2 linked regions of the Kluyveromyces lactis genome follow. The protein of the gene in region 2 purifies or fractionates together with the protein of the main gene of each other region. This does not show direct contact. Links are inferred from orthologs where the notes say so. Each region holds a gene or a part of one and is shown on either strand. Other genes may lie near its edges.

Region 1 (17,683 bases), on a different chromosome or scaffold from region 2:
TTGAGGATTCCGACGAAGTGATCAAATATGCTACACAAGCAATGCTCGGTAAATTGAAGACCAAAAAGAAGGAACCGAAACCCAAGAAAACAACCGCGAAGGCGAAAAAGAGTTCAGATAAGACTTTCTTCATGCCTGATAACGTTAAAGAAGGTTTTACTTCGGCTTCAAGTTTGTTGAATAAGTATACAATCAACGAATTCGGTGAAAAGATCAGCCTTACACCATCCGTGTCGAAAAAGGCCATCAAACCTAAGAAAGAATGGAACATGTTAGATGAAATCGAGTACGACTCTGTAGAGATATCACCAGCTAAAAGTCAAGTGGAACAGCCTTCACAACCACATAAGCCAACCACAACGCAGGGAATCTTAACACCGGATGAGACTACCAACCACATCCCATCTGCGTCACAAGGATCCTCGGTACAGACGGATTCACATACTGTTCAAGAACCAGTACTGAAAAAACTGAAACTCGCGCACCAAATCGAAGATCCTAGTACTAGTATTGAGTACTACAGCGGCTATGAGTTGGTCCCCCAATACGGCGCTACAGATTCAGCTCAAATGCTCACCATGCAAGAACAGAGACATTTCCTAAAAAAATATGTACCGGACACTGTGCACTGGAGCATTGCGCCAGACTTAGCGAAGAGTAAGACGAGAAAAATACGCCACGTACCCAAGATAGAAGAAATCCTGAATACATGCCAAGACATGCATACGAACACAAGAGAAAAGATTATCGGAATGAACAGAACCAATGCCCTAGCAAGAAGTATTGGTTACAACCGTAGCGTAGGAATGGAACTCGAAGTAATGTTGCCTTCAATTGTTGTTCCGAATGAAACTATAACAAACGCCAAAAACATGACTGATCTTCTCGAAGATGAAGACGGTCTATCAGACTTTCTATCCGATTAGTAAGGACAGGAGAAATCCTTATATACACACATCGTCTGTACTTATAATTTATATTCACTCGTCAATCAGTACAAATCTCTCGAGAAAAAAAAGCTTTAAAAATTTGAAAAGTTGCCAGTTACTTCAGATCCTTTAATCAACACTTTCAGAAATAACATATTCTACATTTAATGTTTATATAAATCTTTTTGATGTTTAAAACCCCATCCTTATGCACGGGAAATACGCATATCAGTGAGGATTCGTCCGAGATTGTGTTATTGCTGGTTGAAATTTATTTTTAACCATGACCTCCTCCTCATAACGTATTGTGTCTTTCATTTTACACATGTGTTATGCAGGGAATTTTTGGAACCTACCTTTTTTTCCTTCTTCAAGAAGCATCCTTTTCCTTCATACGAGTTGATTAGGGATTCATCCGGCGATTAGGCTAAGTCCAATTGCTGAATGATGCCTTATCCATCTCGCCTTCAAATGTATAGATATTTGTTTATAGAGAGAGATATTGTTCACCATAGTAAAGAGGAAACTTGGTACTATTCTAATCCCGGGTAATCTCTTTTTTTCGTGGTGAAAAAAAGTTTTGGCTCATCGAACTAGGATTTGGCAAATTATTAGGTGTCAGTTCACTTGGTTCATAGGTCAATCCTAGCATTAGTTGTTGTTTCAATTCGTTCTTGTCCTAACTCATTTATCAGTTGGCACTCCAAGTATCGATATTCCAGTAAAATATACATATATTAACGGTACCAAGATGTTCAGAAAGTATGTTTGGTTTAAAAGATAAACTAAGAATTGACATGCATGATAATTGCTGAAATCACACAAACTCAACTCAAATCGAATACTAACTTATTGATTATTCTTTCTTCATCCTCAGATTCACTAGAGAAGATATCCATACTCGTTCAAATGTCAAATCTTCTATACAGAGGAATTTGAAGGCAAAATTGCTCGCGCAGTATCCCAAGTTGGAAGAAGTGATCGATGAAATCATTCCGAAGAAGGCTCAAATTGAACTATATAAGTGTGAAGGTAAGATTCAGTTGTACTTGGTCAATGGGGAAGTGCTCTTCTTTCAAAACTTTGACGAATTAATTCCTTCTTTGAGATTTGTACACAAATTCCCCGAGGCGTTCCCAACGGTTCAAGTTGATAGAGGTGCCATTAAGTTTGTATTGGCAGGGTCCAACATCATGTGTCCTGGTTTGACATCTCCAGGTGCTAAGTTGCCTGAGGCTCCAGGATTCGAAAAGGATACCATTGTGGTTATCAACGCAGAGAATAAAGAAACCGCTATGGCAGTAGGGAAATTGTTGATGAGTACTGAGGAAATTAAGGAAATTAACAAGGGCCATGGTGTGGAAATGATTCATCATTTGGGTGATCCTCTTTGGACATTCTCTGCTGATTGAAGCGCATTTGTTATCACATTTACGCTCACTTGGCATTTCCCGTTTACTGTTAACGTAGTCATCAGCATTATTCAAAGTACATAATCGATATAGTCATCTTTTTTATACCATTTTTCTTTCATTGGTTCTAATGTACTTAATTGATAAAGGTCTTATTTGGACTTGATGTATATAGTACTCTCTTCTATATTATAGGTTGCTAGGGGAGAGAATTCATTGGTGAAATCGTGTTTGATGTTGTCCATGACAGAGTATTGCAGGGAAATTTCGCCTTGTAGATTAAATTTATATCGCAGAAAGGTCTTCAAATAACGCACACTGAAGCTTTTCAATAGTTTCAACTTGATAGGTTCAGAATCATAAACTATTGGAATTTCAATCAGTTCTTTTGAAAGGAAATTCGTTTGTTGGACGGTGGTTCTACTTTCTGTGTTTATGCTGTGCTTCAGTGTCAAATGATTCCACATAGCACTTTGCGTATCATAATTTATCTGAGACGATAAAACCAGCGATATGAAATAGAGTTCTGCCTCATTTCTTATATCCTCACTTATCCTAGTTCCATCCACACATTTTAAAGACTTCAATCTTGCGATGATACTATAGAAACCTTTTTGCGTATCTTCAAAACATACCGGGTTCTTCTTAATCCAAAGCGTCTCTAATTTAGGGAAAACCGTATTTATACTGTCTATTTCCTCCCAACTTGTGATCCTATTTCTATCAATCCTAAGAGTCATGATATGACTGTTGGTGTTGAGATCGTTAAGGTCTGATATTTTGTTTTCTGAAATGTCAATGCTAGTTAAGGATGATTCTTTTGAAAGAACTTTTGGGAAGCCAATGAAAAGGTTATCAGATATGTTGATTTCCTGTAATGAGGTTAAAACATCTGGAAGTTTTGATAGCAAGTTTGAAGAAATGTCTAGCGCCTTTATTTGAGGGAAAGCCTCTATTATTGTCTCTATATCTCCATTTCGGAGCTTACAACATGCCATTGATAGTTCTTTGACATTGGAAAATTCAAACTGTTCACTGGAATCCGCTTCTAACTTCGTGAAACAGTTCCCACTCAATATAACAGTCTCGACAGATGGAAATAGTCGCAGTATGCGGTACACCTCATTTATGTCAGAAAACAGATTGAAGGATAAATCAAGGTATCGCAGAGAAGAATGAGCACTATTAAACGGAATGCTCGAACAGGTTGTCTTGAAAGCTCGGAAAATGTTGTTTTCTGATAGCGTGATACTTTCCAACTTGTCAAAATCAGAGTTCATTTCATTCAAATGCTCAAATCCATATGACTCAGTCTCTTTCGACCCAAATTTGTAGGTAATATCGATTGATGAAGTATCACCGTATTTCATCAATAATGCACCTTCAAACGATGTTCTCTCTTGCCGAGATGTATCTAGTTTAGTCTCCTTCACAAATGAGCCACTGCTCTGTCCATCGGATGTTCTGAAGTATCGTACTCCGTTTAACGTTCCATCATGTTTACCTCTTTGCTTGTTGTCCCACTCTAAACCATATGCAACGATATTAGGCCATTCTGGCAATGATCCGATGTATCGTACTGTGCAAAACTCACCTCCTATATTCAATCTATCATTGACATTGATCTGCATATTTGGCCCTAGATTTAGTCACGCTGTACACATAGTGTAGCCTGGAGTTCGTATGGTAGACTCACGGATTATTTCTCTTCTTCACTCTTTTAAACATTTTGATTTTAGTAGGCATTTAAAGTATTATTTAAAGGTTTGTTACCTAAAGAAAAGAGATGACAAAAACGTCTTGCCGAAGAAGATATTAAATCATTTATATGTAGTAGTGTACAAATGTGTATTGTCTATTAGGTGCGTGGACTGAAACGGGTGTTCAAATTCACATCCTAATACATAAGCTTTTAAATCTATAGCTTTAACGATGCGAAATAAAATAAGCAATAGGATCCTTGATCGTATTTCATAGAGATGCAGAATAATTCGTTTTCTGTGTTCTCAATTACCTAAGTTGTCTTGTTCAGCTTCAATGGCGTTATCCAATGACGCGAAAAGACCATCCAAATCGAATTCCTTGGACCATTCTTGAACAATGGTCGTTTGTTCCACCTTAGCTGGTGCTGCGACAGCACCAGTACCTAGAGTTGGTTGGTTAGCTTCACCAGATGTAGCAGCATGTTCTGCAGCAGATTCCTTAGAAGCATTGGGTAGAACCCATCCTAGGATCTTACCATCTCTCCAATCGTTAAGAACGGATATACCAGCGCTGGCCAAGTTTGGAACACCGCCCTTACCTAATCTACCTCTCTTACGGGCGATATGGATCAAGAATTGTTTGGTGAAAGAGTCTGCATCGGCAGCTGGGATAGGTGGTAATTCGTACAACTTCTTGAAACTTTCAGTCATTTCTTCAGATTTAGAAAGTCTCTTCACTAATTTGAGCACAGCTGGGTAAGGATCTATGATGAATTTTGGAGGTAGAGCGTTCAACAAGGCCAACTCTGCTTCTTGTTCCACTCTACTCATCTTTTTATTTTCACTTGGGAAACAAATACCTGGAGAATCCAAGATCTTTAGCTTGTTATCTACCTTGACTTCTCTCATAGATGTAGTGACACCAGCTTGGTTACCCACTGGACATGCTTTAGAAGAACCACCACGGCGAGAGGTCAATGCGTTAATGACAGACGACTTACCGACGTTTGGATAACCGATGACACCAACAACGATGGATCTCTTCAAGTTTGAATTATTGGAGTAAGTCTTCAAAGCTTCTAACAAGCTTGAAGCAGTTGTAGCCTGAGTCAAAGTCCTGTTGAAAGATGTGGAGTTAGTGGCACCAGGAGCAGCTCTCAATGGAATAGTAGGGAACGAGGATTTCAAAAAGGTTAACCATTGTTGCAACACGTATGGTGGCACTAAATCGATCTTGTTCAAGATCAAAATTAGTCTCTTACCCTGGGATTGAAGCACGGCCTGTTCCACTCTTCTCGATCTAGTTCCTTCTGGATCTCTTGCATCTAGCACGTAAAGGATAACATCGGACGCATCCACCACAGTCTTGAATATCTTATCGTAAGCCTTTCTAGACTTTTCTAATTCAGAATCATCATCATCTGCGTCAGCGTAAAAGTCTACGTCGTATTCAGCAACCTCTAAATCCTCTTGCTCTCCATTCATTGTATCATCGATACCTTCCCCATTGTACTCCTTTGCAGCTTGCTGAGCGGATTCTAACAAAGCAGAAAGACCATTGTTGCCGTCGTTTTCATCTTCATCCATAGATTCATCGTCATCACCAACATCTTCACCTAGTTCACGAGTTCTTCTCTTAGCCTCTAACCTTTCCTGCTTTCTACGTTCTTTCTCCTCCAAATCAGTTCTTCTCTTCGCTTCAATCTCTTCGATGATCCTGTTCTTGTACGGGAAATTGGCCGGAATACCTGGATCCTTACTCTTATTGGATTTCCATGTCACATCCTTCTTAGCAAGTTTCCGCTCTTTCCTATGTTGAGCAGCAGCCTTCTTCTTGATACCCTCCTTCATACGAGTGGAAGTTCTCTTGGAAGTTCTCTTTCTTACTCTCACCATCTCTTTTGATTAATGGAAAAAGGTATATTTACTGCACTGGATTATAGATATCTTAGCTGTTCCGGTGAACTTATCACGGAAAACAGTACTGAAACATCTACTTGAACAGGTGTTCTGTAAATATCAAGTCTCATCTCATCTCATCTCATCTCATCGCAGGTTTTAACATATTTCGAAGAGCTGAAAAATTTCAAAGTAGAAAAGAATTTCTTTTTGCTGGCGGACGACAGTGGAAACACAGTGGATACTCGTCAATTACGAGGCAATCTTATGCTACTCGCAAGCCATAATTTGTGTCAATAATATTTGGGACGTATTTGGTATATCTATGAGCACTTCCAGGCAGATATTTAACATTATATATACAGTAATACCGTCAAGGGCAGTGAAACTGTCAGTACATATAAAGGCAGCCCAGTAGCCGTTGCGCAGTTTTTTTTGACACTAGCAGGGAACAAAAATCATCTCAGTAATAAGAACTGATATAACGTGATATACGATACGAAGTTGCGAGGGTGGAACTTGTTTTACCACATCTCTCATCCTCTCTACTTCCAGTCAGTGTAGTAATAACTGCGAAGTTATTACTTGTTACCCGGATCTCGTGAAAATTTTCATCAACCGTAAACAAGAGACATGCCACGGTTGTTTCTGTGGCGTTTATCACGTGATATATATTTCCGTCGAGTTTCCAGCATTTTTGCTTAGAAATTGAGAAACTAAAATGATAAGGAGCTATCCAGTTGCAACTTACACAGTCTTGTCCGTCTACTAGTTGGTTAATCGGTATTTCTTCTGTTCTTTTATAACAAAAGCAGCGCCTAAGTTTAGTTATCTTAGCGGCTCATCATTCGACTTCTTACCGTTCAGTTTCCAGCTATTTTTTTAGGCTGTTCTGAGTCATATACCGAGGCAAGAGAAAAGAGAAACTATGTCATTGCCAGCAGCAGCTTCAGCAAATGTAGCTGTCTCATCTAGAAGGAGGGGGCCAAATTTGAACATTGTTATATCGTGTCCCGAATGTAAAGTTTATCCTCCGAAAGTTGTGGAACGGTTTAGTGAAGGTGATATCGTCTGTGCATTATGTGGGTTAGTCTTATCGGATAGAATTGTGGATACCAGGTCAGAATGGCGTACTTTTAGCAATGACGATCAGAATGGAGACGATCCAAGTCGTGTTGGTGAAGCTTCAAATCCTTTGTTGGATGGAAACCATTTAACCACACGTATCGGGCAGGCCCAGGGAAGTGATGCTAGAGTTACTAGGGATTTGAATAGGGCTCAGTCGAAATCTATCGTTGACAAGAAGGATAACGAGTTGCAAGCTGCATATGCGAAGATTACTATGATGTGTGATGCTGCAGAACTGCCCAAGATTGTTAAAGATTGTGCTAAAGAAGCTTATAAATTATGCTTCGAAGAGAGAGTCTTGAAGGGGAAATCACAGGAAAGTATCATGGCTTCAGTTATTCTTGTCGGATGTCGGAGAGCAGAGGTCGGGAGATCTTTCAAGGAAATCTTATCCTTGACTAACGTGCGGAAGAAGGAAATCGGGAAGACGTTTACCATCATCAAGAACATTCTAAGAGAAAAGAATGATAGAGGGTTTGCCAATATTGATACTTCAAATATCACCACAGGACAGACAAGTGCAGAGACTTTCATCCCTAGATTTTGTTCTCATTTGGGCCTTTCAGTGCAGGTGGCTAATGCTGCAGAGTACATCGCGAAACACTCTAAGGATGTCAATGTCTTGGCTGGTAGATCTCCTATCACCATCGCAGCAGCAGCTATCTATATGGCAACTCTACTATTCAAATTGAATATCAGTCCTACAAGAATCTCTCAGACTTTACAAGTCACAGAAGGTACCGTGAAAGGTGGATACAAAGCATTATACGAACACAAAGAAAAAGTGGTCGACCCACAACTGATAGAATCTGGTGTCGTGAAATGGGACAACCTTCCTAGAGTCAGTAATGACAAAAGTGAGAAGGCTAATTGATTATTAACAATACCCATTACAAAAACCCAAAAAAAAAAGAATATTAATACTAACATTAAAAAAAAATCAAGAAAAGAAAACCATTAGTTGGGAAGAATACCCAGTTTCCAAATTTGAATTGAATATCCTATAAAATTCTCGGATCAACTATAATATACATAAATTCTTTCCCTATCTTTTTCATTGCATCTAACACATTATTTGAACTTTATAACTTTCTTTCTCAGAAACTTAATTGGTGTATGATTTATTATACCTCGAGTTATGCAATTGAATAGATTTCTGTTTCGAAACTGTGTTTCAAGTCTATAGGATAAAGTATATGGACCTACGTACACGTCGAAAGAACCAAAAACTTAAAAAAAATAAAATACTTTAATGGATTTACTCTCGTCTTCCAATGTTTAAAGCATAGTTATGGTTGGCGTTCTTTCAGTAATGCAGATCTTTTGTATATTGATTAAAGGATGTTAATTACTTTGTATTCTTATGAAAGTACATATCTTAGTCTTTATTCGTGTTCTTGAACTTCGAGAAATCGGCCATTGAAAATACTGGTCTCATCCCTTGGTTCGGTAATGAAGTGTTTTTCCTATCCCTATCTGACAGTGGATAAGAATCTTTACTATCAAGGGAATCGCCTAAATTCATCATACTTCTACTTCTGAAATTTGAGCTGTTTTCCATTTCTTGACGACCAAATCTACCCCGATTAACGGTACCTTCTTCCAATTTTCCTAGCATGTCTTCTTCTTGAGCCAGTTTGCTATATGTTTTAAGTTTGCAGAAACTTGTTTTCACTGCATTGATACCATCAAATATCTTGTGTTTGGGGAATTGTCTAGCGAATCTGAATTTGCTAATGATAAGATATATCGAACCGAGCACTAATGAAATTATGAAAATGTGAATTATTGTTTGTTTCAATGATACTCCGAAGGATGCGTTATTGACTGGCTGTTGGAGGGACAGGATGGCTCCCGGAATGAATTGCTTGCCGTCTTTCTTTTCATCCATGGGACTTGGCATTATACCAACAGTGGCGCTTGCGTCTCCGGCAACGACAAGTCCCGAAGCGTACATTAAAATTCTACCTAACGTCCAGGTTACGTCTTGGTTGTTAATTTTTTCAACACTCTGGAATGGAACATGTCTATCATCGTCGCTTTTTGAGTCGTCTGGAATGTCTATATCCATCCTAGGAAGGTCAAAGCCCTCATGTAAGACGTTCAATATCCAGTTCGCCTTGAAACAACTATCCAGTAAGAAGTCATCTGGTATATTGTTGTACACTCCATTAGCGTTGTTCTCTTTCAACGTATTCCAATCAGATTCACAGAATTCTTTGACGTTCTTCGAGAATTCATGGAAATTATACTCCCCACTCATCTTGAACACATCATTTGCTGTATACCAGTACTCTGAAATACCCACAAACTTATCTTGTTCAAAATTAATCCTTGGTGCATGTACACCATTGAAGAGACAAGGTTCTTCTAAGCAAGGTAGATTGTTCAAAAGTAACGGATACATCGACTTCATACAATGTACAAAGTCACCAGCACCTGTGATTTCGAAATCTCTATCCTTGAACTCAAACTCGGTTTTTGCTCCCTTCGGTAAACATGGATCGCTAATATATCTTGTCTTGTAGTCGTCATCATCTTCCTCATTTGCGTTTTCAGGTAACGAATTAATTAGTTGAGCCAAATACCTAGACCTTGCCCTATTGGCTCCAAACCCCAACCATGTACTCACGAATACATCCCATTCTTGGGTGTCACCATTGACATTCTTCAAATATATGGTGTGCATATACTTTTTATGCCTTGCAATTTCTTCCGGGTCACTCGGCATGAACGCTAGTTGCGTTGAAGCACCTCCCATATCCATAAAACCTGACGAAGGGTGTTGTGCATATTTAGGATCAAAGTTGTCAAAGTTCCCCAACAGATAATTGAGACTTAACCACCCATATAAACCCTCTGTTTCCCCATCAATGATCTGAATTTGTGATGAGCAATCCTTCAATAGGAAGTTCGTATCACTTCTAATCGATTTACACAGTTCTTGCAAAATCAACTCTTGTTTTCTCTGAGGAAGTAATCTCATCCCGGCGGTAGCCTGAATGAAAACTGGTGTCTCGGAAACTTTATTTGCTGGAATGACGTCCTTGGCGAATTCTAAAAGCTGTTTTATGTGCTTCGAATAAGCCTTATTTGGTTTGTCCCTGAAACTTGATAGTCCAGGAGAAATCTTATGGGTCCAGTTTTTATCCTGACGAATTTGAGGGACAGACTGCAGTAGTGCTATTTGAGAACCATCTTTATCAGCTTCCTCTTGACCTTTGGAATTCAAAACGTGTTGTGGTGAATCCCATTGATAAATATGAATTCTTGATCCTGATGAACCCGCATCAATCACAATCCCATACTGCTTATATTGCTCATCAGATCCTGTGATAATCATTGCACCTACAACCACGACAATCTGGACTTACTGAGGCCAGTCACTCTCTGTTGTCGTCGTTGTTTTGTTCATCGATACAGAAAATTTTGTGCATTAAGTTATTAAGTTGTAAACTAAAGGATCCAATGGACTTAACAAAGGAGGAAACGAGTGAAGTATCGGAAACAAAAAGACGGACTGCAAAAAACCATAGCAGAATGAGGATCAAGTAGAACAGATGACATACTAGATAGATTCATATACTAGATATATGGGAATGTGTAAATATATGAGAGAAATCGAAAGTAGGTAAATAATTAAGTGAACTACAAAGAGGGGAGAGAAATACATTCAAAAGGATCATTTTTCCTCAGCTAATTTCAAAAGTTCTGGTGAACTCACAATTTGGACCTTCTCAGTTCTTGATGAATCCAAAGCTAACTTGACACCAACTTTTCCAACTTCGTCACCGTAGATGGGATAACCTAAAGCACTTTGCAACTTGCTTCTATAGAAACATGAAGAGATCTTTGAGAAGTACTTATCGCCAAACCCTTTAAAAGTACCGTTTCTTTCACCTAACAATCCACCGGGTCTTAATATGATAGTCTTATCGAAGTCAAGAGCGATAATATCCCTTTCGGTCTCACCCTTCAATTTAAGGTATGGTAAGAAACTGTTCTCATTAGCACCCAAGGATGAAACCAAAACGCAGACTTTGTAACCTTTAGCCTTAGCAACCTTCGCTAATTCAACATTCATATCATGGTCTATCTTATACTGGTTTTCAAACCCACCTGCAGCTGCTCTTGTGGTAGCAAGACCAGTCAAAAGTACTGTTGCATCTTCGGGGATCAATTCACCCCATTTGTTCGTTTCAGAACTAACAACAGACACTACAGAATCGGTCTTCAACTCAGAAGGGAGATCTCTTCTAGTAATAGCATATACTTTGTCAAACCCACTGTTTTGACTAGCATATTTTAGAAACGAACTACCGCATAATCCGGTTGCTCCTAACACTAAAGCGTTCATCTTTATTTATCTCAGCTTAATAATTTTTCAGTTAACACCAAACAAGTGGAATGTGCGATGTGTTCGTGTAACTTATCAAGGGGGTATATGTGTCTATGCGAATTTTCTCCGACTTTTGCCACACTTGGTCTCAGTAAGTGTCTTTCCTTTTATAACTTTTTGTCCGTTGGCACTTCTTTTCATGTATAGAATGAATTAATAATGTTCTTCATTAAAACGGCGTTATCGAATTGGAAAATACAAAGAAAAGACACAGAAAGAGCACAACCGGTACCAATTCTTGGATTCCGGTGTCATAGATCTTGTTCACCGGGCATTGTCATCTGTGGCAAGTAATGCTCTTTCAATTGAACTCCTAGGTACCGTTTCTGGCACCAGTTTTCAATGACCGGTGCAAACATCGGAGGTAACGGTTTAACGACAATCGAAGTTGCAACGTCCGGATGTCTAGAGACTCGAGAATACGATGGGATCTTATATCGTTCTGGCACTACAAGATTATCATCGATTATCACCACGTCTCCTATCTCACAACATCGATTCAAGTGTGTATTCGCACCTAGTACGACCCGAGACCCTAATTTCTTGCAGTATACTTTACAATCTTGACCGATCCATACGTATGAATTCATTAAAAGGTCAGAATGAATTGCCACTTTACCTGAATTCAAATCATCCTCACTTTTCCTGTACCCGACCACAGGAGGCTTCACCCTGACTCCTGGCTCTAGAATACAGTACCTACCTACAGATATCGTATACCTGTTGTGATTCTTCCTCTTCGCTGATGCCGATGCCGATTTATCGTAATTTTCCATCAATAACACGTTGCCTTCTAGAGTACATTTGGGAGAAATCACACATTGGCCAGCAAGGACAATCTTATCGGGACCCAAGACATTAGCCTGCTTCGAGATCCTAGTACCTTGGCCAGTTTCTATCCAGTCCATTGTTCAAAACTGTTTCGGAAAATGTGTCAACTGTAGTCCACTTTTAGAAAACAAGTGAACAGATAGCAGATGCCCGGTATAAATCCATGTACAATGCAGAGCCAGTAATAACACCCACTGCTGACCAACGTATAATCGACGACTTGATATTGTAACATGCCGTTTGTGTTTACTAAAAGATAACCTAACCTGATGTTCACGTTTCTCCAAGTACTACTTACTTTTCAGTGTGATGAAAACGCCAAAAATTTCATTTTTATTTTTAGCTGGTCAAAAATCGGTATCATTTTGGTCGAAATGAACAAGTGCCAACAACAACAACAACTGCCAAGAATAACGAGACCGCTTTTGCTGTTCTTACTTTTGACCTTTTATTTATCAACCAGAAATCAGGGTTTAATTCTATCAAGTTTAACTCTGAACCTTAATATCAATATCAAAACAAGTTACCATGCCACAGCTTTTCAGGTTAGATGCTGGCTTCCAGCAGTACGATTGGGGTAAGATCGGTTCATCCTCTGCAGTTGCTCAGTTTGCTGCTCATTCAGACCCATCAGTAAAAATTGATGAACAGAAACCATATGCCGAACTATGGATGGGTACTCATCATAAGGTTCCATCTTATAATCATGATACTAAAGAATCGTTGCGTGATTTGATTGAAGCTGATCCAGTTGGAATGTTGGGTCAAGGCAACGTCGACAAGTTTGGTTCTATGAAGGAATTACCATTCTTGTTTAAAGTTTTATCCATTAAAAAAGTGTTATCTATCCAAGCCCATCCAGATAAGGCTTTAGCTAAAGTCTTACATTTCAACGATCCTGCCAATTATCCTGATGATAACCACAAACCGGAAATGGCGTTGGCAGTCACCGATTTTGAAGGTTTCTGTGGATTCAAGCCATTGGAAGAGATTGCAGATGAGTTGCAACGTATCCCAGAATTGAGAAATATCGTTGGGGATGAAGTTTCCGAAACTTTTATCAACAATATTAACCCAGAGGCAGTGAAGGATTCTGCTGATGATGCCAAGAACAAGAAACTCTTGCAACAAGTATTCAGTAAAGTTATGAACGCTTCTGATAAAGTGGTGGTAGAAAACGCACGTGCGTTGATCAAGAGAGCTCATGAATCTCCTGCTGATTTCAACAAGGACACATTGCCACAACTCTTAATAGACTTGAATGAACAGTTCCCAGATGATGTTGGTTTGTTCTGTGGTGGGTTACTTCTAAACCATTGTAACTTGAAAGCAGGTGAAGCAATCTTCTTGAGAGCGAAGGACCCACACGCGTACATTTCTGGTGACATCATCGAATGTATGGCTGCTTCTGATAACGTCGTTAGAGCAGGTTTCACACCAAAGTTCAAGGACGTTAAAAACTTGGTCGAAATGTTGACATACACTTACGATTCCGTCGAAAAACAAAAGATGTCTCCAGAAAACTTTGAAAGATCTTCTGGCCAAGGTAAATCTGTTCTATTTAATCCACCAATTGAGGAGTTTGCAGTATTGTACACCACCTTCCAGGATGGTGTCGGTACGAGACACTTTGAGGGTTTACACGGTCCTTCCATTGTGATCACCACCAAGGGTAACGGTTTCATCAAGACAGGTGATTTGAAATTGAAAGCGGAACCGGGTTTTGTCTTCTTCATCGCACCTGGAACTGAAGTCGACTTCATTGCAGACGACACCGACTTTACCACATACAGAGCATTTGTCGAACCAAATTAAATAAATGTTTTGAGAACCACAATCAAAGAAACAGTATGATATATACAAATAACTTTTATAAACAGATTTCGTAGTTTTCAATTTTGACAGTATTGTACCATTAATTGATGAAAATTCCATTGAGTGAAGGACATTGTTATCTCTAAGAGATAACATGTTTAAAGTGCTAAATAATATACAAACAATAGCGGTTGTTTTCCATCTACTCGATGTTATGCAATTCCTTCCATTTGAGTATTTTTCTCCTTAGGACATTCTCTGTTTGTTGATATACATTCAATTTCTTATCGAAGAACATCTTTTTATAGTTATCACCATGCTTCTTATATAATTGTTCTAGCCATTGGTCTTCCCGTTGACTTAGACCACGTTCCTTTTTCGCTACTGGTCTGGAAGCATAAGCCTCTAGTTTCTTCACAACCTCTGTCTTGACTTCATTCTTTTCATTTTCACGTCTTAGCTCTTCCACATCCATGTCTATATCAATGGCTTTCCTCTTACCATAGTAAACCTTCACAATATTACCGTCGTCGTCCCGTTTAATTCTAGCTTCTCCTTCTGGAATCTTAGATTCATCGTATTCCCCATCGCTATTTAGTTCTTCCAGGTTAACATCATCTTCATCCTCTTCTCCTTGACTGTCTTTTTCGTCCTCTGATTCATCATCAGAGAAAGCCGAATGCTCGTACACGTCTTTCTTGATAACTTTACTTAGATCCGCTTCTTCACCACCAGCAAATTTACCCATTTTCACTTTAAGACCAAGTTTCTTGTAGTTCTGTGCCAGAGTTAAAGAATAGTCCCAATTCTCAGCTATGATTGGGTTCCCTTTGATATTCACTTGCTTTTGCTTATCCTTATTCCTTCTTGACACTTTCTTCACCGAGGACTTGGCCATCTTTCTCTTTCTAACGGAAGCCATGCTTGATATGTTTGGTTTAATTTAATTTAGTTTAGTTTTTCTCTTGGTCTATGTATACACACCGTTCAGGTTACACGATGATAGAAGTACTTATCTTAATGGCACACTGCACCCACGGTCAACCTTTCATCATCTCATCTCATCTCATCTCATCGGTGAAAAGTTCTGTATATTCGAATTTCGAAGCTAAGGAAATTTTTCAGAGGAAACAAAAGAAATGAAAAGCTAGAGGATACTAACAAGAATCCTTTCAAATTTTCTGCTATGTTTGTAACTTGTTTTCAAAATTAAATTATTTTTCAAAGCTGGGACATGCAGAATGTCCCATTTTTGAATTTTATTTTTTTTTATTTTTTTTTTTTTTTTTTTTTATTCAGTTTCTATTGTATTGTTTTTCTTTAGGCCGTTGAAGCCGAGAAAGTCCTTTTTCCTTAAACCTTCGTCCCTAATCAAATCAGAGCTCATGAAAATCTATATGAATCTAAAAAAAAAAAAAATTTGTAGGTTAAACTCAAGTAGAGCGAATGGTCTTTTTTTTTTCCTAGTTTTTGGTTTTTTTTGTTATACTACCGCTTAGTATGGGGAAGAAAATCTGTTTATAGGTTAGAACACTGAAATACTGAAATAAAGAGAGTTTTCTTTTCCACAACTTAGTGAATAACCTGCAACTTCTTTTTTCAACAGTGATTTGTTAAAGAAGTGGAAGCAAAAGTATTCTTTTGGAACATTTTGGCTCATTAGGCTTTTTCCATTGAAGGGTATCACAATTCTCAAAGGTTTCGGAGTACGTCTTTCTTTTCTGTTTGAAGCTTGGATAACTGAATTCTAAGGTCAAAGATAGTAACTCAGTTTCGTAGTAGTGGAAAGAAATTTTGTATTATAGGGCTGATCCGTAATGACTATGACTGAGGCAGAATTGCAACAGGTTGTTGAATCTAATGGTATTCCAAATGGATCGGAGGTAGAAGCGGTGCAGAAATCTATCAAAAACTTGAGTTTGGAAAATCTTGACAACACCGAAGCAGAGAAGTCGGAATCAGAACCAATACCAGAATCGAACTCACAAGAAGAATCCCAAGATTCAGAGGCTTCAGAAAATGGAGAACAAGACGAATCTAATGTTAAAACGAATTCCGGGAAAAAAGATCATCATCATCAATCGAGGGCAGAAAGATTAGAGAAACAAATTGAACTTGACTCTCGCTCGATCTTTGTCGGTAATATTACCACCGAAGCCACAGCTGAAACACTTGAAGAGCATTTCAAAGATTGTGGTGAGGTTGTTAGGGTCACCATTCTTTACAATAAACTGACTGGTGCTCCTAAAGGCTACGCCTATATTGAGTTCGAAAGTTCGGATTCTATTCCTAAGGCTTTGGAATTGAAGGATTCTGAATTGCATGGAGAAACCATCAATGTGGCTAAAAAGAGAACCAACGTTCCTGGATATAATAACAACAAAAATTACTACCCAAGAAAAGAATGGGTTTACCCGGGCTGGCAAGGAAACGTTATGCGTCAATGGTATTATCCATACGCCGCACCAGGTTATCAAAATTACAAACCAAACGGCATGCCTATTCCACCTCCTCCTCAAAATACATTCTATCCTCAATACCCATATGTGCCACGTCCTACTCATAATTCTGGTCTTAAAATGGGTGGCTATCCAAGAGGCAACTACAGAGGTAATTACAGAGGTAACAATTTCAGAGGCAACTACAACGGTAGAAGAGGTAATAACCACAATGGTAACTATAGAGGGCCAAGAAATCAACAGAATGGAAATTTCAACCACGCGGATGCTGATTCTGATGCTAACGCTACCCCAGAAGAAAAGTCCAGCAATTCCAGCAGTGAAGGTACTACGGAGAATGAAGAGACCCAGCCTTTAGGAGAAGCAGAAACTCCGGTGACTCCATCTAAAGATTAGAAATGATATCTTCCCATCCATCGCTTATTCATCTTGGAAAAAATGTATATTCCAAAGTTGAGATAATTGTTTGTTTTAATTGTGGCTATTCAACACTAATCGATATCTCCCAATGATTTCTATTCATTCCAAACTAAACCTTCTGTAAATAGTTTTATTGTTTGTTTTGCCATTTTATTTGACCCCCATGTTTTTTTTTTACATCTGTCTTCGTTACATTGGGAGACTATTCACAGGTTGTTTGTATTTATTGAATTATGCACCTTCTAATGACTTTATCTCCTCGAACTTCTCTCTTCGACAGGAACAAAGGGTCTATGCATAATTTCTGATGTAATTGTTTTAACCTTTTTTTAAAAGTTTAACATCTATTTTTTGTAATTAACGACATTCATTCAATAATTACATCAAAATGTTAAATACTAGTAAACTGCAAAAGTGACAATTTAATTAAATATTCAAATGCTAACCTATCAATATAACAACTGCTGGCTGATTCTAATATCCCAAAATCTCTTTAACTGGAAAAAACCTTCTTGAATATTCTCAAATATATCTAATTTCAAATACCGAAAAAAATATAACAAATAAATCTAGGAAATATCACGTGCATGCTTTTAATAAAAATCATCTTAAAATCTTTTTTTATTTTTTAGTTTTAAACTTTTTAGTTATTTCAGGAATATATATATTTTTTGTAATATTACTTTTA
Region 2 (15,387 bases):
AAAGACATTGGTTGCGCGTTGCATCAAATATCGAAGTCACGTGCTCTTGTTGACCTTATCTCTGCAGGATGACTCTTCACTAAAAAACGGGCTTCATGAATTTGAAATCAATATATATATATAGTATATGTAAGTATGATTCTGGTCAGATTAAAACCCCAAATGAGAACAATTGGGCTTGTAGTGAAGCGTAAACAGTATACGGAGCATCTTCGCCAAATCAAATTTATTCATTGAAATGAACACAGTTCCTTTCGGACATGAGTTCAAAGCAAAATATTTCACTTACCTGGATTCAGAAGTGACTCTACTCAACCATGGTTCATTTGGTACTACACCTACGATGGTATTAGATGCAGCCAAGAAGAGTCTCGAAGAACATGAGAAGTACCCTTGCAGAGATTACTTCTTGACTTTTATCGAAGAATATAAGCGTCAATTGCAATTAGTCGCGAAGTACCTTGATTTGGAATATAAAAACTGTGCCTTTGTGACCAACGCCACTACAGGTGTTAACACTGTATTGAGGTCAATTCCATTCAATTTCAGCAAAGATAAAATTTTGTTCCATTCCACCACCTATGGGGCTTGTGCCAACACTGTGAAATTTTTGCACGATTACTTCGGATTACAGTACGATGTTATCGATATCAACTACCCATGCGGCAATGATGTGATTGTGCAAGATTTCGAAAAACGTTTGCAAACTAAAGAATATAAGGTGTGCCTCTTTGATATGATTACTTCTCAACCTGGCGCGACATTACCTTATAAAGAACTAATCCAATTGTGTCGTAAATATGGGACTTGGTCTCTGGTCGATGGTGCACATGCTGCAGGTCAAGTTGATTTTGCATTTGTTAATGAATTGAAACCGGACTTTCTCACGACTAACCTACACAAATGGCTTTCTTGCCCTAAATCTGTCGCGTTGTTATATGTTGATCCAAAACATCATGTTATGATTCAGACCATCCCCATATCTCATAACTATACAGCTCCTGCATGCCAATATGTTGAGGGTGACGATGGACATAATTCTAACATCCTTGTTAACAAATTTGCCTTTATCGGCACCGTTTCGTACTCGTCCTATTTTGCTGTGGAGGAAGCATTGAAATTCCGTAAGGACATATGCGGCGGTGAAGAAAAGATTCGAGAATATCAATGGGATTTGCAAGAAGCTGCTATTCCAAAGATTTTGGAGGTTTTTGGCCAAGGATCTGTTCTACTTGAAAACTCGACTAATTCTTTACGTTCACCCGGATTATTCTGTATAGAATTACCGATTAAATCGGAATGTCAACATCTCATTGAAAAGATGAGTACTGATAGAATTTATTTCCTAAACTTTAAGAGTAAATGTGATAAGATCATGCTCGCAGAGTATAAATGTTATGCGCCATTCCAAATTAACAACAGTCACTTGTTTATTAGATTTTCTGTTCAGGTTTTCAACGAACCTAGTGACTATGAAAAAGGTGCTACCATTATCAAAGACATCATTTACGGAGTTTTGGAGGAAGAGGCAAATAATACCAAACGCGATGAAGTGAACAGTCGCTTAGATTCGTTGTTAATTTGAGATTGCTTTTATGTAAAATTTGACTAACATTGATAATTTATGCATCTTCTATGTCATCGCTTTCCTTCATAGATTTTATATTTTAAATTGACATTGGATTTTATAATCTTGATTTGACAACAATGAAAAGGAAAAAAGTAAATTCAATATCATCTCAATTTATAGACATGATAGATAATCTCAATACTACCAATATCGATTGTCATTCCAAACACTTTATTGCATTAAAGAGATCTTCATTACAGTATCTTTATGCCATATTCTTGTTCACTTCTGATTTTTGAAGAGTTTTAAACACAATTGCTAGGAAAAGATAAACCCTTTTATTGAAAGCTTGCAAAAGACCTCAAGAATCCCTTCTCCCACCACAACCAAGCATAACACTCGAATAGTATGACATCAACAGCTCGACTCTCTAAAGACGTCCTTATACGAAAGCTGCAACATGGCATGTCCGATTTCACCAATTTCGAAGAGACAATAGGAGTGCTTCAACTCTTCGAGGTTGATCCTCTCATACTCGAGAAGGCTTTGCCTTCATTAATTAATGAATTGCTTTCGACATATTTTACTACCAACACTGATAATCGGCTCAAGATTGCACGGCTCTTTTACGAGTATTCAAAGATATTCAAAAACAAAAGGATACGGGTACAGATTCCCATCAAGATTTATGATCTGTCGAAAGTTTTAGCGCTATTGAAGTCTTCTCAAGATTGGCATTCTCAGTATTTACTAATTACATGGCTCGCTATGCTCGTAATCTCTCCTTTCAAATTTGATAATGATACTGAAATCCTTTTGATTGTATCGAAGTTCAATCATATGGCTCTTATGAGACCCTTAATTTCTAACATTAAGGCTGAGCTTTGGTCAAAAAACTACGCATTGATTGAACTACCTGAAAAAATTTCACAAGTAGACCCCATAGATCTCAGCTACATGTTAAAAACTTTGAAGCACAAAACAACATATCCCTTCAGCATTGAACAATTGATAGAGTTTACGCAATATATCACATCTCTCACTTCATTTGATAAAGAAATTGATGCTCTGTATACGTTGCAATTACTTCCGCATTTTGTTACTGTTCTAGCAAACAGAGATGAGACCTACTCTTGTATTTATGATATTTTGTTCTGGATGACCTCCACAATCAATCTTTCTTTCACTGACCTACGATTCAAATTGGCTAAATCTGTTTCGAAAATAGTCCTCTTTGTCTCTAATATTGATGAAGAAAGCAGTGAAATGATAATAACTGACTGTGTTAATGATACTGAAGCATTGTTAAAAACAAATTCAAACGAATCGATGGACTCAGACAGACTTCATACATTTTTACTGATTCAAGCAGAATTTTGCAGGAGCCGACTTTTAACGATATCTCATATCAGAAAATTCACGCAGAGTATACTTCCAGTAATTAGCAAATTTCAACAGAAGAGAATGATGAGCACGCAAGGACATCAAATAAGAGATGCAGCTAATTTTTTTTGCTGGAGTGCATTCAGAAGTTATACGAATATTGAGCTTCAGTCTCTCAAAAATATGTTCCTCAACCTATTATTTACAGCAAACTTTGACCATTCACCATTGATAAGAAAATCTGCTATGGCAGCTCTTCAAGAATGTCTAGGAAGGCAAGGAAACGTCCTACTAGATAATGTGACGGTTCTTCGACTTGCAGAGATGCACTTTGGTCAGCTGTCGAATGCACTAACTCTTTTTGAGTTGTTCAATGGAAGATATGAAAGTTATATTGATGAAATGGTACAGTGGCTAGTTCTTTATAGCGTTGGACAGAACTACGATTATCAATTCGTTGAAAAGGCCACTTCCCTACTTTCAGAGATGACATCCCAAATCAATGAAAAATCCCTTTCTAATATGGTTTCAAAGTATATCAATGAAATATCTGTGAAGGGATTGAAATATCAGGACCCTGACATATGTGCAAGAAGTGTTTATCTACAATGCAAAATTGACACTGAAAGTCTCCTGAAAAGTTCAGACGTTCTTGCAATTTTGCACCAACAGAAAATCCCCAAAGTTTGGAATGACCAGATTTCCTTTCAGGCATTAGCTGAGTTGGGAGGTATTTGTTCATTAGTTTTGGATGGTTCTTTACTCTCAAAACAGCAGGTAGAACGGATTTTTCTAATTGCAAGACATGCTCAGATGAATCATTCAAATTATGACGATATTTCGAAACTATTGAATCAACTAGTATCTTTTATTTCCGCAGATAGCGAACCTTTTGATGATTCATCCACAGAATGCTCATTTTGGGCTATATTCTATCAGTTATTCAGACTTCAACAACCTCTCATCTGCTGCGCTGCACCGTTTTTGTCACAGAACCAATTTATTTCCTTGTTTTATGATTCGGTTTCCAAAATGTCTTGTGAGTATAAGGGAAAAATGATTGATTCTCTTTCTCAGGCTATCTCTAGATATTCTCCTGATGAACATCTTCAGATATTCCTTCAAGATGTTGTATTATTCTTGGACGACTATACCACTACAGACAAAGGAGATGTTGGCCGCTTGACTAGGCTTTCCACAGTGAACTTGATTCTAAAACATAGCATGTTATTTAGAAAGTTGACTTGTCTCCCATTCATTGAAAACTCATTATTAAGATTAACGGGAGAGCCCTCTACGGAAATCAGACTAAAATGCTTCGAAGCGTTATGTACTCTTCGACATGTTTCCCTTGAGAACCCTCCTTGCAATTTTAATGCAATCCGACTTTATAATCTACACTATAGGGGGAACAACGAATTCTGGAAAGGGTACTTTTTTTCGGCTGGGGCAATTCATTCGACCGATAGACTAATCTCTTCCGCAATCGACGATCTTCTTACTTATTACCAAGGCCTTGAATTGGCTGACCGATTATTGCAATTGAATGAGTTTGCTCGGATTGTTCCATCCGCCAAAGAATTCGAGGAGCTGAAAGCATCCAAAATGCGTAACAATATACTGGGAACCATACCGAGAGAGATCATAAAGTCAACTATCACATTTCTTAACTGCTGGTGTCGGATGCTAGAATCTGGAATAACTCTCGAAGAAGATTTTAACTATAGCGGTTTTTTTGCCCGTGTGTACAATCTTCAACTTGCTGCAAGGTCAGTATCTGTCACCAGTTATGCTTTCAGGCTATTAACCCTTCTTGTCTGCCATCAGATACTTAATGTCAGGAAAAACTCAGCACAATTTGCGAATACCTTCATCAAAATACTATTAAAACAATTAGCCGCAGCCAAACAAAGAACCGAATTTTCCAGTATTCAAAACGTTGCTTTGGAATCTCTAACTCATATCTACATATGTGCTGACAGGAATAAAAAAATTGAACTTATACAAGAAAACTCCACAACTCCGCAGCAGTTCTCTGCTCTAAAAAACACTGATCTTTTAATCTAGAAGATTACTTCCGGACAGGTGCAGCATTATTGGAATCTGTACACGTTTCTTCGATAATACGAAGAAGATTCTCTAAACGAACTCTATCATTTTTATCCTGTCTGATATTATAGACGTTTCTGGCAGAAGACCCGTTCTTGGCCAGGTACCTCATTTCAAGTTCCTCAATACGCTCAACAGAGCATTCAGGGACAAAATTTTCTACCATCGCTGTTCGCATAACTTCATGAGAAAGTTCAGCATTAAGCCCATTTTCCTCAAAGAATTTTATAAGCGTAGACTGAATATTAATAACGGAATGCCCTAATTTATCTGCAGCAGTAGATAAAAACATGCTAATGTTTGTCGGAAAACAAAATTCGTAAGTGGAACCATCACTTTTAAGAAAACTTTTACAATGCTGCTTCAAAAAATGGTAGTAATAGTAGTAAAATTCTTCGTGTGTATGACCTTTAAGGGAATTGTTCAAAAGCACAGAGTAGTCGAATGGCATTAATTCCACAGAATCGGCAATCTTTTTCTGTAAGAAGTTGAAGAGCAATAAACTGGCAGTTTTATGCGTCGGTTTATTGCTCGACATTGCAGGAAAAAATGCATGGAAGTTCGAATAACGAGCCTTATTAGTTGCATTCGCTACGAAAAGGAGCACCATCTCCCGGTCAGAAAAAGCGCTTTCCAAAAATTCAATAAAACATTGAAAACCCTGACCACTGGCATGTTTTATAAATAACCCAAAAATGTCACATTTCATCTTTTGATTGAAATTCGGTTTTACCACACTTTTGAAAAATGAGTAATAATCCCTGCCCTGTTGAAGAGGTGGTATTTTGGAGATTAAAAAGTCCAAATTCATCTCATACTGTGAAAGGTCAACATTAGAATTGTTTAATATAGCCAATACCAATTCCATATTGGAATCTTCGACATCGTTAAGGGAGAGGGTGTTATGCAACGGTGCATAAGAGTCAGGATATAATTCCAAAAGAAGTTTGTTAGTTTGTTTTAGCATATTTCGATCAATAAATGCTCTGAAATCTGTAATGGTGTCTGGTCTTAATTTAAACCCCATATCCGAGTACTTTTTTAGTCCAAGATTAGCTGTAGTTTCATCCCCAGATATGAGAAACCGCTCAACAAAGCGCTCGAGTTCATATTGAACAATGAACAAAGGTACCAATTCAGTGTTTTGGATGTGGTTCCTGTAATAAGCTATCAGTTTGGTACGTTGGTCGGTTTCTTGATAAAATCTTAGCATTGTCATATGTTTTACGGTATGCCACTGAACTGCAGCCATGTTTGGAAAACTTGTCAGAACTATTTCCAAGGCCGCTTTAATCATCAATAGTGATCTGCCCTTAGTAATCATCGTTAGAGTCCGGAGTAGAAAGGATATGGAAGGAGATATGGTATTAATTTTAGTACAGTATTTTTGTAACAAATGAAGGTTGTATTTTGAAATAGCAGTGAGTTCTTGATTATTTAGACGATTACTCGTCATGGACATCATCATCTTATTGAAAACAAAGTAGAGCTCTTCCGGAATACCTGCTTCGTCTTTATACAACGTCTCGCCTGGGGGTTTGATCCATTCAATTTTATTTGTTTTTAGGAGGCTCAACATATGGAAAGCCTGTTTAAATTTACGCTCTCTAAGTAGCACATCCATATACGAAGAAACAGCTGGTAACCATAGTATGTCCTTTCGAGCACCGCCATTCTTTCCCGAGTCTTTATACCATGTAGAGTTCAAAAAAGCTCTTGTGGAATCATTAAGTAGCTTACTGGACCCACGATCTCGCAATAACTCTTCATCCAAGGTTTCTCTTAACAAAGAGAGATATGATTGATCGTATGAAGAAGAAGCAACTTTTTGTTTAGAGATCGCACTGCTTATTGATTTTACCTTATTCATGACGCAAATGCACAAACCTCACACAACAAATTTGGTAAACAGTAATGTTTTGCTGGCTGAGGGCTTACAATTGTGTAAAAAATAAGTCGAATGTTAGTGAAGATGGCAGTGAAAAGAAACAAAGAGCGGCTCAGTGCAATACAAAAAGCATAACTGGAAAGTGCCTTAATTCTTTGGATGTCGTCTTAAGTTAATTTTTTTTGTATTGCCAACTGTATTTGATATATGAGAGAAAAACAAAAAAAAATGAAAGCGATGAGCATAGAAAATATTGGACGGATAAATCAAGAAACAAAACACTATGACACGAAAAGAGCGTGTAACAAAGAGAGTATCTTCACCAATGGCACTTTATGTATATATAAACAAACAGATTCAAAGCTGACCAACTTTTTAATAGCAGCGTCACATTAAATATTGTTTGAAAAAAGTTTCAATCGTTTGTTAGGGTTTTTTTCGGGGGAAAGTTTGACACTTTTCGGTAGTTTATGTTTTACAACAGCAAAGGTATCAATGTTCTCATCAATTTTTATGCAATCAGAGCTTAACTGTAAAACTTTCTTTTTGTATATTCTTTCCAATTGACTAGTATGTTTTTCCACCCAAACCTGATGTAAAGCTTCTTCCACATCACATCTATTAAAAGTAGAAACTTGTAGACATTTCTTAACAAAACTCTTGGCACTATCTGTGATAGCAATCCATTGTCTAGCAGTAAAATTTAGTTTTCCAGTTCTAACATTTTTGATGATGCTTGCTTCAGATCCATCACCATAAAAAGGGGAAATCCCAGTGAGCATGATGTGTGTTATGACGCCGAGGGACCAAATATCGCACTTGGAATCATAGCCGTTGTTGTCTGGATCTAAGGTAGCAGTTCTACTGAACGATCGATAAATATTACGATCGGCTTTGAATCCCACTTCTGGTGCACAATATTCCGGAGTACCGACCACAGTATGCATTCTTTCTTTTGTATTTTGAGATAATTCTTTTGCAATACCAAAATCTGCAAGAACAACCTTAGTACATGGTTCTGGGGTATGCAAGAGGATATTGTCCAACTTCAAATCCCTGTGAACGATGCCGTTTGAATGTAAGAACTTCAAAGCTAAGAGAATCTGATATATGATTATCAACGATTCTGTTTCAGAAATCGGAACTAAGCAATCGCCTTTTGCCAAATAAGAGAAGAGATCACCTCCCGATATAAGATCCTGAAAAATGTATACATTGCCAAGGGCATCAACACAAGATTGATGAATACGAATAATATTTGGATGATTCAATTTTTCAAGAATGGTGGCTTCTTTCACCATCCTAGTCTTTGCAGTGTTGATAACTTTTACAGCATATGAAACAGTCTTTTTAGCAACTTGTCTTTTCATATTGTGGTCCACTTTTTCTGCTACCAAGACATGTCCAAAAGTTCCTGAGCCCACTATACGCGGCACAATTTTCCATCGATCCCATTCCGATTTAATTCTCAACCCAGTCATAAACTGTGACATCGTTTCGCTTTTCACTGCAGAGAACTTAAATTTTGCCCCGTTTGGTAATTGAATCACGTCTTGGTTGGATAACAAGTATGGGACGTCTCTGGATAAGACCTGCTCATTGACCATCGTCCCATTCAATGACATATCCTTTATGTAGCAAAGTGGAACGCTCTCGGGATCAAATCTGATGCCCCATAGCACACAGTGAATGTTCGAAACAGAAGGATGTTCAACAGAGTAAATACACTCCTCAGTGTTCCGTCCAAGTTTCAATACCTTATTAATTTCAATTTGGAAATGATTTACGATGAACTGCGGCGAGGAGTCCAGCTCGCTCTCCAAATCGACTTCCAATACTCCCAAAACTTTGTCCATTTTTTTAGCCTCCGTCTATCCAATATAGTGGGAACTATTCCAACAGAGGGAGAAGTGGCTAATGAGGCTCCTCTTAAGGATCTGAGACTGCCATGCTGTATGTTTATATAGATGCCAGATGTGCGCGGCTAAAATGAAACGACAAAAAAGCGAATATTAAGAAAACAAACAACCAATTCATTACCCGGCAAGCAAAGAAGAATGGCCCACGTGAAACAAAATTGCAATCCGATGACATAATCACAATATGCACCACGTGACTCTAAGATCCTCTTGAGCACAATTCAAAAGAAACACATACCGCAAGTAACCCCACTTCCCATATCGTTCAACGTCCTCTCCAACCTCTATCCTCTACATGCAAGCACAGGCGCTCAAACACCACCATGTTGCTCGCTAACAACTTCTAACCCTCTCATAACCCTTCATTAATTGTCACTGGGAACGTTCCAGTCAGCAATGTTTGCCTGAACTTCCCCTCTGTATTTCGAAAAAGTACTCACGAACTCTACGTACTCCATTCATCACGGCCCTCGAAGAAGCTTTTTTCCCTGCAAAACAGTAAAGAAAGAAAAAGAAAAAGCCATGAAAAACTATTATGGGAATTACTCACAGTCAAGTTCTGGCGATACTTTTTTCTGGCGATGCTGAAATATTGAAAAACTGAAAAATTCTGAATCGAGTGAAAAATTTCGGCAAAAAGACGTGATGTGATGAGCCATGTCTTATATATATATATATGCACCAGAACAGTCTTTGTCTGGTGAGATTTTAGGACACGGAGTTTGTGCAGTTGATTCATAGGATAGCTATTTAGGGGAGACATTAAGCTACTGTTCCAAAGGTGATACGACCAGGCAACCATACCCCATATTGAGTATGATATTCAGGAACACCGTTGTGCGTTTAGCACAGGCTGGGAAAAAAGCTATTCCTCCAGTGAAACTAGCGTACAAGAATATGCTAAAAGATCCATCGACGAAATATAGACCATACCCACAGATCAACTTGGAAAATAGACAATGGCCTTCGAAGACCATCACCAAGGCTCCTAGGTGGCTTTCTACCGATCTAAGAGACGGGAATCAATCTTTACCAGATCCTATGTCTGTCGAGCAGAAGAAGGAATATTTCCATAAGTTGATTGAGATTGGTTTCAAAGAAATTGAGGTCTCATTCCCATCTGCGTCGCAAACAGATTTCGACTTCACAAGATACGCTGTTGAAAACGCCCCAGAAGATGTTTCCATTCAATGTCTTGTTCAATCGAGAGAACATTTGATTAGAAGAACAGTTGAAGCTTTGCATGGTGCTAAGAAAGCCACCATCCATACGTATTTGGCCACCTCCGACATGTTCCGTGACATTGTGTTCAACATGTCCCAAGAAGAAGCTATTGCTAAAGCTGTGGAAGCCACCAAGTTAGTTAGGAAATTGACCAAGGATGATCCTTCGCAAAGTGCTACACAATGGACTTACCAGTTCTCTCCAGAATGTTTCAGTGATACACCTGTAGAATTTGCTGTTGAGATCTGTGAAGCCGTAAAGGCTGCTTGGGAACCAACTGAGGAAAACCCAATCATTTTCAACCTACCTGCTACCGTCGAAGTCGCTACTCCAAACATTTACGCTGATCAAATTGAATACTTTTCAACTCACATATCTGAACGTGAAAAGGTCTGTATCTCCACACATGCGCACAACGACCGTGGCTGTGGTGTTGCTGCTTCTGAACTAGGTATTTTGGCTGGTGCTGACCGTGTCGAAGGTTGTTTATTCGGTAATGGTGAACGTACTGGTAACGTTGACTTGGTTACTGTCGCATTGAACATGTACACTCAAGGTGTTTCTCCAGAATTAGACTTATCTGATATTAACTCAGTCATTGAAGTAGTGGAAAGATGTAACAAGATTGCAGTTTCACCAAGAGCCCCATATGGTGGTGACTTGGTCGTTTGTGCTTTCAGTGGTTCTCATCAAGATGCTATCAAAAAGGGTTTCAATCTTCAAGAAAAGAGACGTAGTCAAGGTGATACTCTATGGAAAATTCCATACTTGCCATTGGATCCAAAGGATATCGGTAGAGACTACGAAGCTGTCATCCGTGTCAACTCTCAATCTGGTAAGGGGGGTGCCGCTTGGGTTGTCTTGAGATCTTTGGGCCTAGATTTGCCAAGAAACTTGCAAATTGAATTTTCCACTCAAGTGCAAGAAAAGGCTGATGCTCTAGGTAAGGAACTAAAGGCAAACGAAATTGTCAGCACCTTCAAGTCGTTATACAACCTCGATGGAAGCGCCTCCAACATTTCTTTGTTAGAATACAATGTTTCTAAAGTACAGGGTGATCAGAAGAGTTTTGTTGGTCAAGTCCAGATCGACAACGAAGTCGTCGGCATTGAAGGTCTCGGAAACGGTCCAATTTCCTCTCTAATCGATGCGTTGTCAAATTTGCTCGGTGTTAAACTTGGTGTTGCCAACTACACCGAACATTCCTTAGGATCTGGTTCTTCAACAAAGGCTGCTTCTTACGTGCATATTGCTTACAGAAGAGAAATTGACAACGAAAAGGCCTACCAATGGGGTATTGGTATGTCTGAAGATGTTGGAGAGGCTTCTGCCAAAGCCATCCTTTCTGCTGTTAATAACTTGATCAAAAAGGGCGAACTAACAATACCAGCTCATCGTGACTCAGCCTCAGCATCTGCATAGTCAGCGGAGTTTATACTTTTCAAAAGTTCCACAAACTTGCACTGTATCTACCGAGGTAAAATACTACTTATTTATTCGTTGTATTTGCGACTTCGTTTACCATCATTTTGTATTTCTCTTCTTGACAATTCATTTATCAGTGTTACACCGAAGACTTTGAATTGTCTTTATATTATATAATTTATATTCAATTAATATCAGGAATATCACCACACTCACCGTATATAACATTGACATCATGGTATATATTCAAGGTTGGAAAAATTGATGTGGCTCTTCATTGCGTACATTCAACATGCCTTTCAACTGATCTTCTCATAGTAAAAGGGGTCGAGGTAATAGTAAAGAAAAGTCAAAAAAAAAAAGCTGATCATAATAGAAATATTGATTTGATTAAAGATCACAAGACGAAATGATAGAGACAATAAAACTGCAAGTAGAAACACCAGATTTACTCTTGTATCACTAACAGGACCACCTACATTGCACTTTGGGTTGAAATGCAGATTTTAGTACAGCAAGGTCCCGAGAGAGTAATAGCACTCGCTTCTGAAAGCTTTGCATTGTTGTTGAAATATGTCCCACCGAAGGATAAGACACATCCGGTGTGTACCATTGAGATGGTTCCCAAGAGCTATTTGAAGAAGCAGAAATTTGAAAAATTGAGCAAGCTTGAAATCCATGGCTTCATTGGGTTAATTGAGTTGGAAGGAAGTATTTTCATAGGTACAATTACTGGAAAATCTGAGGTTGCCAGCCCAATCCCGGGAGAAACAGTCAACAAAATCTATGGAGTTGATTTCTTCTGTCTAGATAGTAATCGATGGGATTTCGTTGAGTTCGATTCTAACGGATTTCCAATCATACCAGAAGAAGAATATGCAAGCTCTTCCAATCAACAGCAACAGCACCCGTGCCATGATTTGAAGAAATTACTATCGAACGGATCATTCTATTATAGTTCCGATTTCGATCTAACATCTTTACTACAGTCTAGAGGTCTCAACCAGCATTCGTTATCCTTCGATAATTACCAAGAAGAGTACATGTGGAATTCCTTTTTAATGCAAGAAATCATCACATTTAGAAACCATTTGGACGATAAAGCCAAGCAAATAATGGATGATGAAGGATTCTTAACGACAGTGATCAGAGGTTTTGCTGAAACTTTCCCATCATATATCGGCAGAATGCCCGTCAATTTAACTATGATATCAAAACAATCTTGGAAAAGAGCGGGAACAAGATTTAATGTTAGAGGTATTGATGACGAGGCAAATGTAGCAAACTTTTGTGAAACTGAATTTATTATGTATTCAGAGGAATACTGCTTTGCTGTGACAGAAATTAGAGGAAGTGTACCTGTTTTCTGGGAACAAGATACAGCTCTAATCAATCCAAAGGTTACAATTACCAGATCTGTCGAGGCAACGCAATCGACCTTCGATGAGCACTTTAAGAGATTAATACAAAAATACGGCCCTGTTCATGTAGTAAATTTATTATCAACGAAATCTTCCGAAATAGAACTAACGAGACGATACAGAGAGCATTTCGAGCGTTCAAAAAGCCTCAAATTAAACTCTGAAATTTTTTTAACTGAGTTTGACTTTCACAAAGAGACCAAAGAAGAAGGATTTGCTGCTGCATCAAAAATCATGCCTACATTAGAGCGCTCTATTCTGGAAAATGGTTATTTCTCATACGATGTTAAAGAGAAAAAACAATTGTCTGAGCAAAATGGTGTTTTCAGAACAAACTGTTTAGATTGCTTAGACAGAACCAATCTAATTCAGCAGTTTATTTCAAGATATACATTTATCTTGTTTTTAGAAGATTTCCAATTAATCAAACCAAAACTTCCATTAATCGAAGAATATGATTGGTATCAAAAACACAATAATATCTGGGCTGATCACGGTGATGCAGTTTCTCAAATTTATACAGGAACGAATGCATTAAAATCATCATTTTCAAGAAAAGGTAAAATGTCATTTGCTGGTGCTCTCTCTGATGCAACAAAGTCCGTCAGTAGAATGTACATCAATAACTTTATGGACAAAAATAAACAGATGAACATCGACGCATTGTTGGGCCGTCTACCACATCAGCATTCTGTCGAATTATTCGATCCGATCAATGACTACGTTAATGAAGAACTTAGAAAACAAGAAGCACAGTTTACTACCACTAGTAACATTAAGATCTTATGTGGCACATTCAACGTAAATGGACTCACCAAGTCTGTAGATTTATCAGAATGGCTATACCCTATTGGCAAAAGATATCTTCCTGACATTGTTGTACTGGGTTTGCAAGAAGTAATTGAATTGAATGCGTCTTCGATTTTGAACGTTGATACTTCAAAGTCACAATTTTGGAAAGACTTAGTTCATAGTTGCTTGAACAAACATGAAAATTATATCATGTTGAGAGCCGAGCAAATGTCATCTTTGATTATATTATTCTTTGTCAAAGCTGACAAAGTTGGAAATGTAAAAAGAGTAGAGGGTTCTTCAAAGAAAACAGGTCTAGGAGGAATGACCGGTAACAAAGGTGCTGTTGCCATTAGATTCGACTATGGAAGTACATCTTTCTGCTTCATCAATGCTCATTTATCTGCTGGCGTGAATAATGTAGAGGAACGTAGAAGTGATTATGAGAGTATAACCAAGGGAATTAGTTTCAGCAGGTCAAAAAGAATTGATCACCATAATTCCACTTTCTGGCTCGGTGATTTAAATTATAGGATTGAGTTGCCAAACGAAAAGGTAAGGAGTATCCTCTCATTACCTGATAATGCTGATTTGGATAAATTGCTGGAGCATGACCAGCTGACATCGGAAATGGCTTCAGAATCTGTCTTCAAAGGTTTCATGGAACCATCAATTCAGTTTAGACCAACGTACAAGTACGATCATGGTACAGACAGATACGATACTTCCGAAAAAGCTAGAATTCCATCATGGACGGATAGAATCTTATACAAAGGTGAAAACTTACAACCAATGGCGTATAGTGATGCCAAATTGAATTTGAGTGATCACAAACCTGTTTATGCAGCTTACAAAGCCAAGGTCAAATTTATTGACGAAGAATCAAAGATACAAATGACCAAGAAACTATATATGGACTACAAACAATCACATCCTCAAGATTCCGGTTCTATCAATAGTGCATTGCTTGATCTTGAGCTAGTTGACGCGAAGGAGGAGCCTAAACCGGTGATTTCGACAGAAATGAGTCTGTTAGATCTGGATCTACATTTCGAATCTGCCGGAGTGAGCACAAGCCGGGCGATGCCGCCAAAACCACTATCACCTTCTTCAAGATCTTCATCCTCAATGAGTAGTCTATCTTTGACTAGTCCACCAGTTGGACCAACTGCCAGAAGGGGCGATACCGTAAGAAATGGTGCTCAACTAACAAAAGAACCGGAAGCCGTAAGAAGAGTGCCTCCACCCCCTCCACACAAGAAACCAGTCATAACATTGGATTCTCCTGTTCGAACGCCGTCCCCCTCATCAATATCCACGTCAGCTTCGGATCGAAAAATCACCCTGGTTCCACCACCTCCACCTTCCAGAAAGCCTAACCCTCCACCTGGTTTCTCTGATGTCATATTAACTCCAAAGGGATCCACTCCTGAGCCTGTAGCATCACCTCCAGTACCCATAGATACTGCCGAATCATCTGCAAAGAAATCAAAACCTCATGTTCCTTCAAAGAAACCTGAACTAGCAATGTCCCTGGATTCTTGGAAACCACTTCAACCAAAATAGTTCACCCCAACGACGCCCTCTCTTCTTCAATACTATCATAAAAGTTATAAATATACAACTAATTTATGTACATAATAAAAAACTTAGAAA

The links.
Region 1: the proteins of CIN1 (region 2) and PAC2 purify together in Saccharomyces cerevisiae (affinity purification with mass spectrometry; 4 studies listed by BioGRID, with this or other methods). This does not show direct contact. The link is inferred for Kluyveromyces lactis from reciprocal best matches to the Saccharomyces cerevisiae genes CIN1 and PAC2.

What each region holds. Positions count from the first base shown.
Region 1 is NC_006040.1:1,169,730-1,187,412, forward strand, and holds PAC2 (Pac2p), read right to left. Parts: upstream 3,973-17,683; coding exon 2,494-3,972; downstream 1-2,493. Other genes in the region: MPH1 (3'-5' DNA helicase), read left to right, coding at 1-926; TMA20 (translation machinery-associated protein 20), read left to right, coding at 1,681-1,691, 1,807-2,341; RNA-binding GTPase NUG1, read right to left, coding at 4,348-5,940; SUA7 (transcription factor TFIIB), read left to right, coding at 6,872-7,945; YND1 (apyrase), read right to left, coding at 8,450-10,414; FMP52 (Fmp52p), read right to left, coding at 10,754-11,428; KLLA0_D13706g (dynactin subunit 5), read right to left, coding at 11,722-12,378; mannose-6-phosphate isomerase PMI40, read left to right, coding at 12,830-14,116; NOP16 (Nop16p), read right to left, coding at 14,319-15,038; SGN1 (Sgn1p), read left to right, coding at 15,934-16,971. UniProt on the Saccharomyces cerevisiae protein: Required for viability in the absence of the kinesin-related CIN8 mitotic motor. Seems to be involved in the assembly of alpha-tubulin.
Region 2 is NC_006042.1:2,191,261-2,206,647, forward strand, and holds CIN1 (Cin1p), read left to right. Parts: upstream 1-1,978; coding exon 1,979-5,020; downstream 5,021-15,387. Other genes in the region: KLLA0_F23441g (uncharacterized protein), read left to right, coding at 239-1,585; KLLA0_F23485g (uncharacterized protein), read right to left, coding at 5,025-6,932; serine/threonine protein kinase MEK1, read right to left, coding at 7,343-8,806; KLLA0_F23529g (uncharacterized protein), read left to right, coding at 9,686-11,515; KLLA0_F23551g (uncharacterized protein), read left to right, coding at 12,016-15,297.